Rattus norvegicus: one gene and its partners. The protein of the gene in region 1 purifies or fractionates together with the protein of each later gene. This does not show direct contact. Links are inferred from orthologs where the notes say so. Each region holds a gene or a part of one and is shown in the gene's direction. Other genes may lie near its edges.

Region 1 (4,804 bases):
AAGAAAATTAGTTCAACGTCATTCTTGGCTAAGTAAGTTTCAAAGCAAATTGGAACATTTGAGACAAAAGAAATATCAGTAACCACATCAAAAATTCCTTCAGCCAGGCAGAGTGGTGGGTCTCTGTAATCCTAGCATTTGGAGGGTAGAGACAGAGGATGAGGAAGAGTTCTAAGGCGACCTCTCCATGACTTGAGGTCACCTGGGTTATATGAAACACTGTCTCAAAACAAAACTGGAAACCTTTTTTTTTTTTTCTTTTCTTTTTTTCGGAGCTGGGGACCGAACCCAGGGCCTTGCGCTTGCTAGGTAAGAAGCCTTCTTTTGACAAGGAAATTAGATCATGTTTTCCGCAAATCTTTTACTTATTTTGGTGTGTGTGTGTTATGTGTGTGTGTGTGTGTGTGTGTATACATAGCACATAGGTGAGCATCATATGATTGAGTGATCAACTTTAGTTTTGTTTTAAATTTATCACACCTACCAATTTATATATGGGTGTATTTCTGTTTTCCCCCTTGTTTGCTTGTTTTTGTTACATGGTTTCACTGACCTGGAACTAATCCAGAACGGCTATTCTGGCTAGCCTCTGAGCCTGTGTCTCTGCAGCACTGGCAATACAAGCACCAGCCACCATGACTGTCCCCCCACGCCCTCTGGGCTCTGGGGAATCAAGCTCCGGTCCTAACTGAACCATTTCCTAGACCCCCAAATTACCCACAAAACTGCTGCTGAAGCTTCTAGACCCTCCTCTTCTAACAGGGGGCATCCTGCTCTCAACTCCTGTCTGCTCCTTCTCCTAATTAACTGGCTACAGCATTCCTTTACTGTGACTCCTGGAATTGTGTTTAGCTGCACTATGACAAGAATCCCAGGGCACCTGACTAAGAGGCGCCTGAGGATCTGAAAGGGGGAGTTCTCAGGCTGCACAGCTGCAAAGGATCTGTGCTCTGTGCCGCCTCTGCCGGGAGGACATTTTGAATAGTTTAGTAATTGCAATGTGAGGGCAATTTTAAAGCCACACGTTAGCGCCGATCACCTTATGAATAGTAGTTTATGGTCCTGAAATAAATTCGGGGGTAGTTTATAATCCGATATGCAACACAGCGCCAAGCAATCCTTTTAGGAAACTTACATAGCACAAGAAATCCCTAATATTCTTCTGTGAGACATTTTCCTTCTAGTTTCGCCTCACTTGTTCCATTTAGCTACTGCCTCAAATGTTTAGAAATCTTTTCAAAGAGTCCTTACTTAGGTTATTCCATCCAGTTGATAGCTTAAGGCTAAAGATGGGGCCTACTCTGCCCTTACTTCAATAAGCTCAATATTTCATGCTTAGCTACTACCACCCTTTCCTTGGGTGATTGAAAGTGCTTCCAGTACTTGATACCCTTAGTATCGAGGACGAGCAATGTATCAAGTATGGCGACTCGCCTTCAAAGGGGGCTTTCACCGCAGGTAAGTTCAAAATGCACAGGCGTTAAAGGAAGCAAGGAGCAAGATAAAACTCACTCATCCAGTGTGACCACATGAATAGAATCAACCGAGCTATCTGGACCACAAGCATTTTAGGATGCTTCTTCACCTTTAAAACTGCGGGCCGGCCAGGTTCCAGGGTTCGCCCACATAGTGTGAATCTCCCCTAGTTACCTCTGCCGCAGCTCCCGCTGCCGCCCCGCATTGCAGCGGCGCGCCCCTGGCTGCAGCAAGGCGCGCGCCCCGGCGGCGGCGGCCCCGCCCCGCGGGCCCACGCAGGGAGGGGGCTCGGAGCCGAGCCCGCCTCTGCGGCGGTCAGGCCGGGCGCCCAATGGACGCGGCTGGTCCGGGGAGGGACCGTGACCAGCGGTCGCGCCCGCCCCTCCTCAGCTGCTACTTAAGAGGCTCCGGCGCGGGCGCCTCCGCCTCATTGCGTTACTTACCTCGACTCTTAGTTGTCGGGAACGGTAACCGGGACCCGGTGTCTGCTTCTATCACCCTCGCCTTCTAACCCGTAGCTATCATGGTGAGTGGTTTGGTCTGGAGAGGGGAGATGGAGGGGAGGGAGGAGCTCGCCCGGGGCTATGATCGAGGGGTGCGCGTGCGGAAGAGCTTGGGCCCCATGATGCTGGGGACGTCCGTGGTTTGGGGCAGAAGGGAAGCACTCGGATCTCTCTGGAATCCGGTCTCCAATCATCACACCCTGCGCAAAACCTGCAGCGTGGCGCTTTCAGACTGCTGTCTTCCCGCGGGGGCCCTTCCCCCATCCCTGACTTGCTTGCTGCTTTTCGGGCGCGCGCGGCTTTTCCCCGCCCTCACTTCCTCTTTAGCGCGAAAAGGCGGGGGCGGGAAGGCGCCGGAGACAAAGGACGCATGCGCAACCGTTACATTCCCGCCTGAGAGCGGCGGGAAGAGCCTCCGCAGTGTGCGCGTGCGCGCTGAGGCACTGCGGGTTTAATTCGTTTGGGTGTGTCTCCAGTTGGATCCCTGTTTTAAGCTGAAGTTCAAACGTAGGATCTCTACCATCCTAAACCAGCTACTGCCGAGTTGCAATCTCAGCCACGACCTTTTTGCTTTTAATGAAAGCAATAAGGAATTTGGGCAATATTCCCTCAAATCTCCAGTCAGAAATTTGGGTGGGACCAGATGATGACATTGACGTGTTTTGAGGGAACAGAAATCGGATCGCAGCAGTTGATAATCCCCTGCTGAACCAAGACAGATGTGGAGGAGCTGAACTCTGTGCCTACAAATAGAGGAAGCTGAAAGCCAACAGCCTCCAGGCTGCTCAAGGCGCATGCTCTCAAAATTGCTCCTTTACCACCTGCGGCAGAGCCCAGCCCCTTGTCCCTGCAGCGAGGCACCTCCCTGCCCTGCTCCAGCTGAGTGCTTCCTGTGCCTAGAATTGTTCTGAAATCTGGACACCAGAGCAAAAGTAGAGCTGAGACGGTAGATGAACGGCCTTTGTATATTGGTATTCAGAAAGGGAAAGCCGTAACCACGCCTAAGTGGCCGAATTTGTCACATTGTGCCACTAAGAACTCAATTGCTTGCAACATTGCTAATATTCTTTTCTTCCTTCCCTTCCACAGCGTGAGTGCATCTCCATCCACGTCGGCCAGGCTGGTGTCCAGATCGGCAATGCCTGCTGGGAGCTCTACTGCCTGGAACATGGCATCCAGCCTGATGGCCAGATGCCAAGCGACAAGACCATTGGGGGAGGAGATGACTCCTTCAACACCTTCTTCAGTGAGACAGGAGCTGGCAAGCACGTGCCCCGGGCGGTGTTCGTAGACCTGGAACCCACAGTTATTGGTAAGTGGACTGGGGGCTTCCCTGGGGCAGTCCTTCTTGGTCACATACTCAGAATGTCTCTCCAGACCCGGAAGGGTGAGTGAGCTTGTGGGGTCCTTGGTGGTGATGGCTGACGTCTTCTCCTTTTTCAGATGAAGTTCGCACTGGCACCTACCGCCAGCTCTTCCACCCAGAGCAGCTCATCACAGGCAAGGAAGATGCTGCCAATAACTATGCCCGTGGCCACTACACCATTGGCAAGGAGATCATTGACCTTGTCTTGGACAGAATTCGCAAGCTGGTAAATACCCTATGTGGATGGGTTTAAAATGCAGTGGGAGGGTGTCTTGGTATCTGTCAAAATGTGTCAGGTCTTTCCTATCAGGTAGAGATGGCTCACAGTCTAAAGGAATTGAAATAGTGTATGCCCTGGTAATAAGACATTATATGTCCTTTTCTCCCACAGGCTGACCAGTGCACGGGTCTCCAGGGCTTCTTGGTTTTCCACAGCTTTGGTGGGGGAACTGGCTCTGGGTTCACCTCCCTGCTGATGGAGAGGCTCTCTGTCGACTACGGAAAGAAGTCCAAGCTGGAGTTCTCCATTTACCCAGCCCCCCAGGTTTCCACTGCTGTGGTTGAGCCCTACAATTCCATCCTCACCACCCACACCACCCTGGAGCACTCTGATTGTGCCTTCATGGTAGACAATGAGGCCATCTATGACATCTGTCGTAGAAACCTCGACATTGAGCGCCCAACCTACACTAACCTTAACCGCCTTATTAGCCAGATTGTGTCTTCCATCACTGCTTCCCTCAGATTTGATGGGGCCCTGAATGTTGATCTGACAGAATTCCAGACCAACCTGGTGCCCTACCCTCGCATCCACTTCCCTCTGGCCACTTATGCCCCTGTCATCTCTGCTGAGAAAGCCTACCATGAACAGCTTTCTGTAGCAGAGATCACCAATGCCTGCTTTGAGCCAGCCAACCAGATGGTGAAATGTGACCCTCGCCATGGTAAATACATGGCTTGCTGCCTGCTGTACCGTGGTGATGTGGTCCCCAAAGATGTCAATGCTGCCATTGCCACCATCAAGACCAAGCGCAGCATCCAGTTTGTGGACTGGTGCCCCACTGGCTTCAAGGTTGGCATTAATTACCAGCCTCCCACTGTGGTACCTGGTGGCGACCTGGCCAAGGTCCAGAGAGCTGTGTGTATGCTGAGCAACACCACAGCCATTGCTGAGGCTTGGGCTCGCCTGGATCACAAGTTTGATCTGATGTATGCCAAGCGTGCCTTTGTGCACTGGTATGTGGGTGAGGGCATGGAGGAGGGAGAGTTCTCTGAAGCCCGTGAGGACATGGCTGCCCTAGAGAAGGATTATGAGGAGGTTGGTGTGGATTCTGTGGAGGGTGAGGGTGAGGAAGAAGGAGAGGAATACTAGTTCATTCCTGCAGTCCCTGTATCATGTCAAACTCAACTCCAGCTCCAGCACTAGCTGCAGGCATCGATGCTTCTATGCTGTTTCCCT
Region 2 (4,480 bases), on another chromosome or scaffold:
CTAGTCAGTGATGCAGAACCCCAGATGGTTTCTTTCTGGTCACAGCCAGAAAGCTCCTTAGGAAATGGTGTCCTCAAGAGGGGGAAGATCAGGACAACTCGGTCACCTGTGGGACTGATACTTAGATACTTAGACACAGGATGGGCATCTCAAAGAGTCACAGGGACAATTTTCCCTTCTCAGTCTACCACTTGCTATTAGTTTGATTACTCAGAGGGGGACAGGTAGGTTGAGCTCCCATTCAGGAGAAACAGTCCTTTGCAAATCCATTCTGATCTTGGTACTAGCATCTCAATTTTCCAGGAGAGGAAGCTGAGGACAGAGCTGTGACCTGCCAAGATCTAAATCTAAGTCCCTCTGTGTGTTGTCTACAGAGCAGCCTTAACAATGCAAACTGCCTCACAGAAGTCAGGCTTTCTGACACACTGAGCCACTTAGGCCCCACCCCTGCACCAGCTCGCAGAGACTCCTTCTAGTCTTAATAGCTAACATTTGGGGCTGCTTCTTGAATACCATCGGAGTGACTAGTAGCTCAGGAAATTATCAACATTTACCATCACACTCATTTGGGTTGCCACCAGCCAAAGTCTATTATTAGCGTTTATCTCGAACTAGTCACCCGCTGGCGCGAGCTACGTCATCGCCAAACGCAGCTCAGGAATCTTGGGAGCAGACGTCTCTTCCAAACATCCTAGCTTCTTTGATTTGCTCCACACAACACAACTGATGCGAATCCGTAGGTCTTCTAGGATGACTAGCCTGGAATTGAGAATGGCGGCAGCAGCAATCCGAACCACAGCAGCGGTGGATGCGGGGGTGGGGAGTGGGGAGCGTGTTAGCGCTAGGGGCAGATCCGGGTCTCGAACCTGGGAGTAGAACACCACGCAGGCGCAGTAGGACCGGTTCCACGGGCATGCTCGCGAGAGGTGTGGTTTGCACCCGAAGCGTTGTGGGCGGACTAGATCAGTTTTGTGGGCTGGAGGTGGGCGGGTAAATTAAAACGCTCAGCCCAATGGAAAAGAAGGGATGAGGGCCCGGGGCCACACAGGTCGCCGGGAATTTGGCGGCGCGAGTCAAGGGCGGAGTTTGGAAAGGGGGCAGTGCTCAGTAAGTAGGGACAAAACGATTGGCCGGCGTGGATGGCTGGGCGGGAGTTGGGCGGAGGCTTGCCACCGGCTGAGGGAGCTTGGTTAAACGGTAGGCGTCTGGGAAGGGGGTGGGGTCTGAAGGATTCTGCTCGAAAGGGGCAGTCCTCTGAGCAGCGGGGCAAAGGGGAAAGCTGGGGGCGAGATCTGTGAGAGAGGAAGGTGCGGGCTCGGCCCTACAGGAGGTGGAGTTGAGTGAGTCTTTGAGGGTGCTGCCGAGGCCGCGGCAGCCTGGTCTGGCGGACGAGAAAGGTGGGTGATTTATCTGGGGAGCTAGGCTGAAGCGGGCAGGTTGCAGAAGCCAAGCGTTCCGAGCGCAGATTAGAGGTATGAAAGGATGTGGGAAGTGGAGGGGTGGGGGGCGGTGACTGGACAGGGCAGGCCTTAGAAGAGCCTGGCTGAGCCTGGGCTTACCTCGTTTAGTGAATAGGCAAAATGAGGAAAGAATCGGGTAAAAGCAGCGAGGTCCAGGGGGAATGGACCGGACCAGGTTTCCTCTAGGAGAAGATGGCCTTGGGGGGGGCGGGGTTTAGAAGGCTCGGGAATGGAACGGGGTGAAGGCTGCGCTCTAGAATAGGGGGCGGGGCCTGGAAAGGAGCTGTGATGTGGGGTCCTCTGGACACTGCAGCCGCCTCACCACCAACGACACCTTTGCTAGAGCCGTTCCAGGAGCAAAGGCTCTTCAGCCATGACCTCCACCGGCCAAGATTCTTCTACCAGGCAGCGAAAGAGTAGGCACAATCCCCAATCGCCCCTTCAGGACTCCAGCGCCACCTTGGTGAGGCCCCAGACCAGCCCTGCTGGGGAGTGGAAGGGGGGGTGGGAAGCCAGCCATCCATGTCTTCTGATTCTTCTCTCTGATTGGCAGAAGCGTGGTGGGAAGAAGGGTGCTGTACCCCACTCCAGCCCCAATCTAGCGGAGGTAAAGAAGAAAGGCAAAATGAAGAAGCTCAGCCAACCAGCTGAAGAAGACCTAATCGTTGGGCTTCAAGGGCTGGTAAGCGAGGCCTGGCTGAAGTTTGGCCTTCTTTACCAAACAAAACAGTGATTTTCCCCATCATGGACGGTGTGAGGTGTTTCCTCTGATTGGATCTGTGTTTCATTTCTTTCCCCTGCAGGATCTGAACTCTGAGACAAGAGTACCAGTTGGTACTGGATTGGTATTTGATGAACAGCTAAATGACTTCCACTGCCTTTGGGATGACAGGTGAGCCTGGGATCACCAAATTGTCCCCAAACTATAAAATTTACACAATTGCCCCCTTCTTCCCACAAACAAGAGTGAATCTTTTGTTATTCGAGCCTGTAGTCTGGAAGCAGGTGATTTAGGGAGTGGGGATCATTCTGGAAAGGGTTTTCTTTTAAGCCAATAAACGGAGTGTATACTGTGTGCCAAGAGTTACTGATATATGTGACCAACATAGAAAAGACCTTTCTCAGCTCACTGGTGAGTATGAGGGGAGATCATTAAACACCCAACAGTGGTATAAACTGTTCAATGAAGACGAAATGACTGGGAAATCCACGTGCAAAATTTTGCTTTGAGATAGAATCTGACGCTGTACCCTGGGCTATCCTGGAACTCATTATGTAGTCATCGGCCTCAAACCTCCCATGAGCCTCCTGTCTTAGCCACTTGAGTGCTGATATTTGTAGGCATAAACTACTACACTTGGCTAGAAATGATTGTTAGAGGGCCCTGGCCTCTAGCTAGCATGAGCCTTCTTTAAGAATGAGACATTTGGGGCTGGGGATTTAGCTCAGTGGTAGAGCGCTTACCTAGGAAGCGCAAGGCCCTGGGTTCGGTCCCCAGCTCCGAAAAAAAAAAAAACCAAAAAAAAAAAAAAGAATGAGACATTTATGCTGAAATACACTTCTCGAAAGAATCTATTTATTCTTTTTGGCTCTGTCTTCAAAATATATTCACTATCTGATTTCTTTCCACTTGTTCCCTGCTTCTAGCCTCCACATTGAAACCTAAAAAAAAATACATTTGAGATATTTCCTTTCTTAAAATACTTCAAGGCCAGAGCATTGCTCTTAAGGTAAAATTGGAATTCTTTATCTTGGCCTCTAAGGTTCCACGTGATTTGGCTCCCTGTCACCTTTTGTGACCTGTTCAGCCAGGCCTTTCCTTGTGTGCTTCAGTTCACTTCACTCACACTGGCCGCCTTCTCTTCTTTCAATATGCCAGGCGCCCTCTAGCCTTGGGTCTTTACCCTTGACTGATTCCTCTTTCAACTTTCACAGCTATGGAGACTCGCAGAAGCCTTTGACTGGCCACTACCTTTCTCACATCTGATCTTAGCTGTTTTACTAGCCTCCGTCATCGTTTGTTAATCATTACACTGATATTTACAAATATAGTAGCCGTCTCCCCTATCCTAACCTGAAACTAACTCACGATGTCAAGAGGCTCTCTTTATGGTACATTTGTTGAGGATACAGCCGTAAACAAAGTTGCCTTCAGAAGTAGTCAAGAGGTGACCTCTACAGTGTTAGAGCAGAGGAATTCAGGTGGGAGGGAGAGGAAAGTTTGAGTAGAAGGGGTGCTTCCCTTTGGAATACAATAGCTAGGGGAGGTAGTGCTAACATTTGAGTAAAGATACAAGGGGCGGAGGGGGGAGGCTAAGGGACTGAGCCATGAGTCATCGCTGAAAAGAGTATTCCAGACATGTAAGACAGTTGAAGTCCTCAGGTCTAGCTGAAGGGAATGTGATTTAATTGCAGACCAAGGACCATAGCCCAGGAAACAAGGTGAAAGAGGAGGGGTGTGGTTAGAAAGAACCAGAATAGGGATGGGGCTAGCTTTATTTTTTAGGGCCTTCTAGGTGTGATGCAAAGTTTGGCTTTACTGGGAACAGAGTCAGAGCTACAAAAGGGTGTTGAGGAGTAAAAATCCTAACCACTGGCTGGCTGCAGTGTAAAGGAGGGGCTATTGGGGGAATCCGTGTAGAAGCAGGGGGCGGTTCGGGTAAAGGTGATGGAGCAGACAGCTCAGACTGCAGTTTCCCACTACCCGCATGAATGCTAGCAGGGAGGAAAGTAGTGGAAGACGTAAGGAAATGCTAATGTTGCAGGTAAGAGGTGAGCAGCTATGGGAGGGTGGGTAGGAGATGGGACAAGAGCAGACGTGCTCCCTAGCATTTTGTCTGTGTATCTGTGTGATCCCCCTCTCCACCTCCCCAGCTTCCCTGAAAACCCTGAGCGGCTCCATGCCATCAAAGAGCAGCTGATCCTGGAGGGCCTCCTGGGCCGCTGTGTGTCCTTTCAGGTGACTCCTCCACAGCCTTCAAAGGGTGGGTGGGGAACTGGCAGGACCTACGCATGGCCTG
Region 3 (4,488 bases), on another chromosome or scaffold:
GGGTCTCACTACGTAGCCATGGTTGGCCTGGAACTTGCTATGCACACCAGGCTGGCCTTGAAGGCACAGAGATCTGCTTGCCTCCCATGTTCTGGGATTAAAAGCATATGACACTACGCCTGGCTATGTATCGTTTCTGTAATGAGTATCACACAGATGTTGAGGGGAATGAGAATTTCTTATTCCTATCAAAATGGCAAAACCTTCAGTATAGCTCAGTAGAATACATCCAACGGCATTATGAGTTGTCATCTGTGTGGAGAAGTGACTCAAAAAAATTCAGCACGTATCGTATCTATACCTAAGTGCCCAGACATACTGGCAGGGGAAACATCTATACGCTTAGTTGGTTTTGTTTTTGTTTTTGTTTTTTAATGTTTAAAGGAATGCTTTCAAAGACTGGGTACCACTGTCCAGCCATATTTGAGTTTTTAGCAGGCTTAGTTCATAACACGTTGGAGGTTGAGGCAGGAGGATTGCTACGAGTCCGAAGCTAGACAGTGAGCTGTCTAGCCGGGACACAGAGTGAATCTTTGTTTCATATTTTTAAAAATTAAGAAAACAAAACTGCCTCAATGACCTGGGCCCTAAGAATAGACTGATTCTTGAGGCTCCTCAACGCCCATCGCACCACTCCTAAAGCCATCTAGTACTTTCTGCCTAGCAATAATGCTCCCGTCAAACTCCGGGATTTTTAAATGACCAGGGTAGAGGGGAAGGGTCCATTTTCTGTGTTCCCACATTCACGGATAAAAATAGGCAAGACAAATGAACCTGGGAAACCTCGCGAGAGTGTGAGGGAAGCATCCCGGAGTCCAGTAGCTAGAGACACCCCGCAAATAGAGGCCGACACCTCTGCTTCCTGTCACGCCCAGTCGAGTGCCGAGGTCGAAGCATCCCTCACACACGAGCAGTAGTGCTTTTCCTGCAAAACTGGCCGCGCAACCGCCACGCCGTAATCCTTAAAGCGCGGAACCGCAACGTTGTGAGGCGAGCACAACGGAACCTTAGAATTCGGAGTGCGGATTACCGGAGAACAAGTTTCTCGGATGCGCAATGACGTCGCGACTTGGCGTGTGGGCGGGCCCAGAGAGACCAGCGTCAGGATAAGCCAATCAGCGGGCACCAAGAGAGCCACAATCCAATGGAGGTGCTCTGTGGGCACGCTGGGGGCGGGCCAGATGCGTAAGACTTTTCGAGAAGACCCGCATAGAGCACGTTGTTCTCGGCCTCTCCCTGAGCTCGACCAGCCATGGCGGCGGTGAAGACCCTAAATCCCAAAGCCGAGGTGGCCCGGGCGCAGGCAGCGCTGGCGGTGAACATCAGCGCGGCACGGGGCCTGCAGGATGTTCTGAGGACCAACTTGGGCCCTAAAGGCACCATGAAGATGTAAGCCCGGGCTGGCGGGCGGGAGGGCCTGGCGGGTCAATGGCCGCAAACTCCAGTCGCTGCCTCCAGGCCTTCGCACTAGCATTTTCTACAATGTTTGTGCTGCATCCCATCCAAACCACCCGGATTCGCGCCTTTCGGGGTTGCGGGTTGCACCCACTTCTTTTGGAGGAAGAGGATGGCGTGTGCACCCTTCCTGAACCCAGCCCCCCCGAGTTTACTAGGATGTAGGAATAAGACCCAAATTTCAGGAGGATCTGTTTTTGTTACCTTATTAGCCAGCAAATTAGTGAAGTTCCCTGAGACGTAGCGCTTGGATTTTTAAGTATACTCTTAGTCACGCCTCTCGTATCCGTTCCTCAAATTACGCCTGCTTTGGAGTCCTATTTCATAGCCTCCTTTTGTCCCCTTTACTCCTCTTTCGCTTTCGTGGGTCTTTTCATTATGTAATTAGTCGAGGTAGAGTCTGACTGATAAGTTATGGTTTGTCTGGAACTCCCAGAGATTTGCATGACTTTAAGAGAGGGTTGGGTGATATACATCACCCCTTGGCTGCTTTGTGGAATTCTTACTTGCTTTTTTATTGGAAAGTCACATTCTTGCTCATCAATCCCTGCCCGTTTGACAGGCTTGTATCTGGTGCTGGAGACATCAAACTTACTAAAGATGGCAATGTGCTACTTCATGAAATGGTAAGAAGCTGCCGTGCTAGGTATTAAAAAAAAAAAAAAACTTTTGACCTGTTCCTTCTGGATAAAATTCTTCATCGTACGTTTCAAGCAGAAATATAGGAAGTGCTGTAGTGGGTGAGGAACTCTGTAGAGTCTCAAATGTGTGTTTGGGTCCTTGGTATTTTGTTTTGGTTTTGGCCTACTTTGTATAGTCTGGGCTAAAAAAAAAATAATAACAATAATTGTATAAAAGATCGCTATGTCTGCTTTAGCTAAATCTTGTAACACAGCTTTAATCCCAGTACTCAACTAGATCTCAGGATTCAAAGCCAGACAGAGCTACATATGCAAAAACAGGGCAGTGGGAAAGAAAAGCAAAAATGAATGATCATCTTTTTACTCAACTGCAGGAGAAATGAAAAATCTCCTTACTTTGTTTGAGATGAGTCTCACTGTGTAAGCCTCAGTGATTACCTACTTTCTTTCCCTGAATGCTGGGATTAAAGCTGTGCGCCTCACACCAGGCTACCTTAGAGTTGTTATTTTTGTCCCTGGGATCATATTAAATTGACCCAATTACCCATTTCCCTCACCAGAACTTTCAGGTCCTGTAGTTCACATCCCAGTAAAGGGAATGTCTTGAACATCCAACCAAAATGTAGCCATGCTGTGCAATCTTGAGTGGGACGCTGTAAAAGAAGCCTTTCTTATGTTTTACCCTAGGTAACCATAAGTCATTTAAGTAGTTCTTTTTCTACCTGCAGCAAATTCAACACCCAACAGCCTCTTTGATAGCAAAAGTGGCTACAGCGCAGGATGACATAACCGGCGATGGCACTACATCCAATGTCCTCATCATCGGAGAGCTGCTCAAACAAGCGGACCTCTACATTTCTGAAGTACACAATGATTCATGTTTCTGAGTTTCTGCTTGTTGTTTGGTGGGCTAATGGTGCTAATTGATGTGATGCTAGCTGAGGGCACACCGTAGAACGGTTGAGCTGCTTAGCTCAGAGAGCCTCTGCCTGTCTGTCACTGGTCTGAAATGAATGGGAAAAAATCACCTCTAAGTAATGATTACATATTTTTAATGGACTAGCCTACTCTGGTTTCTTTTTAAAAATATTTCAAAATGATGTGAATTAGTTTCAGATTACCTGTAGACAAGAGAAGCAAGCTCTTACAGCAAAATGTTAGGAGCCAGTTTTGAGTTCGTGGATTGCACAGTGAACACCCAAGTGTGCTCTGTAGTTCCCTTGGCCTTGACTCTGTGCTAGAGTAAAGTCTGTTCTTTTCCTCTGCATTGAAAGGAGTACTGTGTCCTTTTAAATGTATTCAGAAAATCAGCACACCATCTTAATTGTAGTGAATAGGAGGGCCCCAGGGTGTCCCTTGAGATTACTGACTGACTGGGTTTCAGTGGTATCCTGTTGAAGATGCAGGTGTTGGCACTGGCTTTATAGCTGTTTGGATTATAGGGTCTCCATCCCAGAATAATAACCGAAGGCTTTGAAGCTGCAAAGGAAAAGGCACTCCAGTTTTTGGAACAAGTCAAAGTAAGCAAAGAGATGGACAGAGAAACACTCATCGATGTGGCCAGGACATCTCTGCGGACTAAAGTTCATGCTGAGCTTGCAGATGTCTTGACAGAGGTGTGTATCGGCCTCGTGTGGTGCAATGCATGGGGAAAGTCTGATGTAAAAACCTGTTCTAAGCGTGCATGTGTAGGCTTTTCACAGAAAGTCTGTGTAGAGGAAGGGGTTAGGGTTTTCCCTGGGCAGTAATGATCTAATCTGTCTTCAGCTTGGAAAGATGGAGTTAGTAACAGGCCAGGCTTAGGAAGAATTGACACTCCTCCAAAATGTCTCTAGTCATACTTTGGGGAACTGGTCTGCTAGTCCACAATACAGTATGAATTGTAGGGCTGAGATTGGGGACCTGTGCCACCATAAAATAGCACTTGTGGGGTTTCAGAGACAATTTTCTTAAGCCTTTTCCACTCTTCTGAACAACAGCTAAATAAAGTGTGTCAGGCTCTGCACATTAAATTTATTAATGGTTATCTCATAGGCTGTGGTGGACTCCATTTTGGCCATTAGGAAAAAAGATGAGCCCATTGACCTCTTCATGGTTGAGATCATGGAGATGAAGCATAAATCTGAAACTGATACAAGGTAGGCAAGAGAATGCTTTGAAGTGCTTTCTACCACTGAGCTGCGGGCTTCCCCCCAGCCCCCAGTCCTGAGACATGTTCATACTGGATAGGTTGCTGAGTATGGCATTTACTCTAAGTAGTATGCACTGTGGGGATGAGGGAAGGCTGTGCTGTGTTTGTGGTCGGTGTGATTTGAAATGTGAACATGTATTGATACGCTTGACTACAGTGCACATGTATGAGTGCTGTATCTGTGTATATGCCTGCATGCCA

What was found. The genes of interacting proteins can lie anywhere in the genome.
Region 2: the proteins of Tuba1b (region 1) and Hdac6 purify together in Homo sapiens (affinity purification with western blotting; 4 studies listed by BioGRID, with this or other methods). This does not show direct contact. The link is inferred for Rattus norvegicus from reciprocal best matches to the Homo sapiens genes TUBA1B and HDAC6.
Region 3: the proteins of Tuba1b (region 1) and Cct6a purify together in Homo sapiens (affinity purification with mass spectrometry; 3 studies listed by BioGRID and IntAct, counting the BioPlex papers as one, with this or other methods). This does not show direct contact. The link is inferred for Rattus norvegicus from reciprocal best matches to the Homo sapiens genes TUBA1B and CCT6A.

What each region holds. Positions count from the first base shown.
Region 1 is NC_086025.1:131,969,684-131,974,487, reverse strand, and holds the start of Tuba1b (tubulin alpha-1B chain), read left to right. Parts: upstream 1-1,900; 5' UTR 1,901-1,999; coding exon 2,000-2,002; intron 2,003-3,068; coding exon 3,069-3,291; intron 3,292-3,422; coding exon 3,423-3,571; intron 3,572-3,736; coding exon 3,737-4,717; 3' UTR 4,718-4,804. UniProt on the Homo sapiens protein: Tubulin is the major constituent of microtubules, protein filaments consisting of alpha- and beta-tubulin heterodimers. Microtubules grow by the addition of GTP-tubulin dimers to the microtubule end, where a stabilizing cap forms.
Region 2 is NC_086039.1:17,221,949-17,226,428, forward strand, and holds the start of Hdac6 (histone deacetylase 6), read left to right. Parts: upstream 1-1,226; 5' UTR 1,227-1,397; exon of another isoform or gene 1,398-1,472; intron 1,473-1,559; exon of another isoform or gene 1,560-1,767; intron 1,768-1,773; exon of another isoform or gene 1,774-1,803; 5' UTR 1,804-1,833; coding exon 1,834-1,923; intron 1,924-2,013; coding exon 2,014-2,142; intron 2,143-2,263; coding exon 2,264-2,352; intron 2,353-4,334; coding exon 4,335-4,419; intron 4,420-4,480.
Region 3 is NC_086030.1:32,515,819-32,520,306, reverse strand, and holds the start of Cct6a (T-complex protein 1 subunit zeta), read left to right. Parts: upstream 1-1,234; 5' UTR 1,235-1,252; coding exon 1,253-1,389; intron 1,390-2,017; coding exon 2,018-2,081; intron 2,082-2,824; coding exon 2,825-2,959; intron 2,960-3,279; exon of another isoform or gene 3,280-3,414; intron 3,415-3,538; coding exon 3,539-3,712; intron 3,713-4,130; coding exon 4,131-4,234; intron 4,235-4,488. UniProt on the Homo sapiens protein: Component of the chaperonin-containing T-complex (TRiC), a molecular chaperone complex that assists the folding of actin, tubulin and other proteins upon ATP hydrolysis.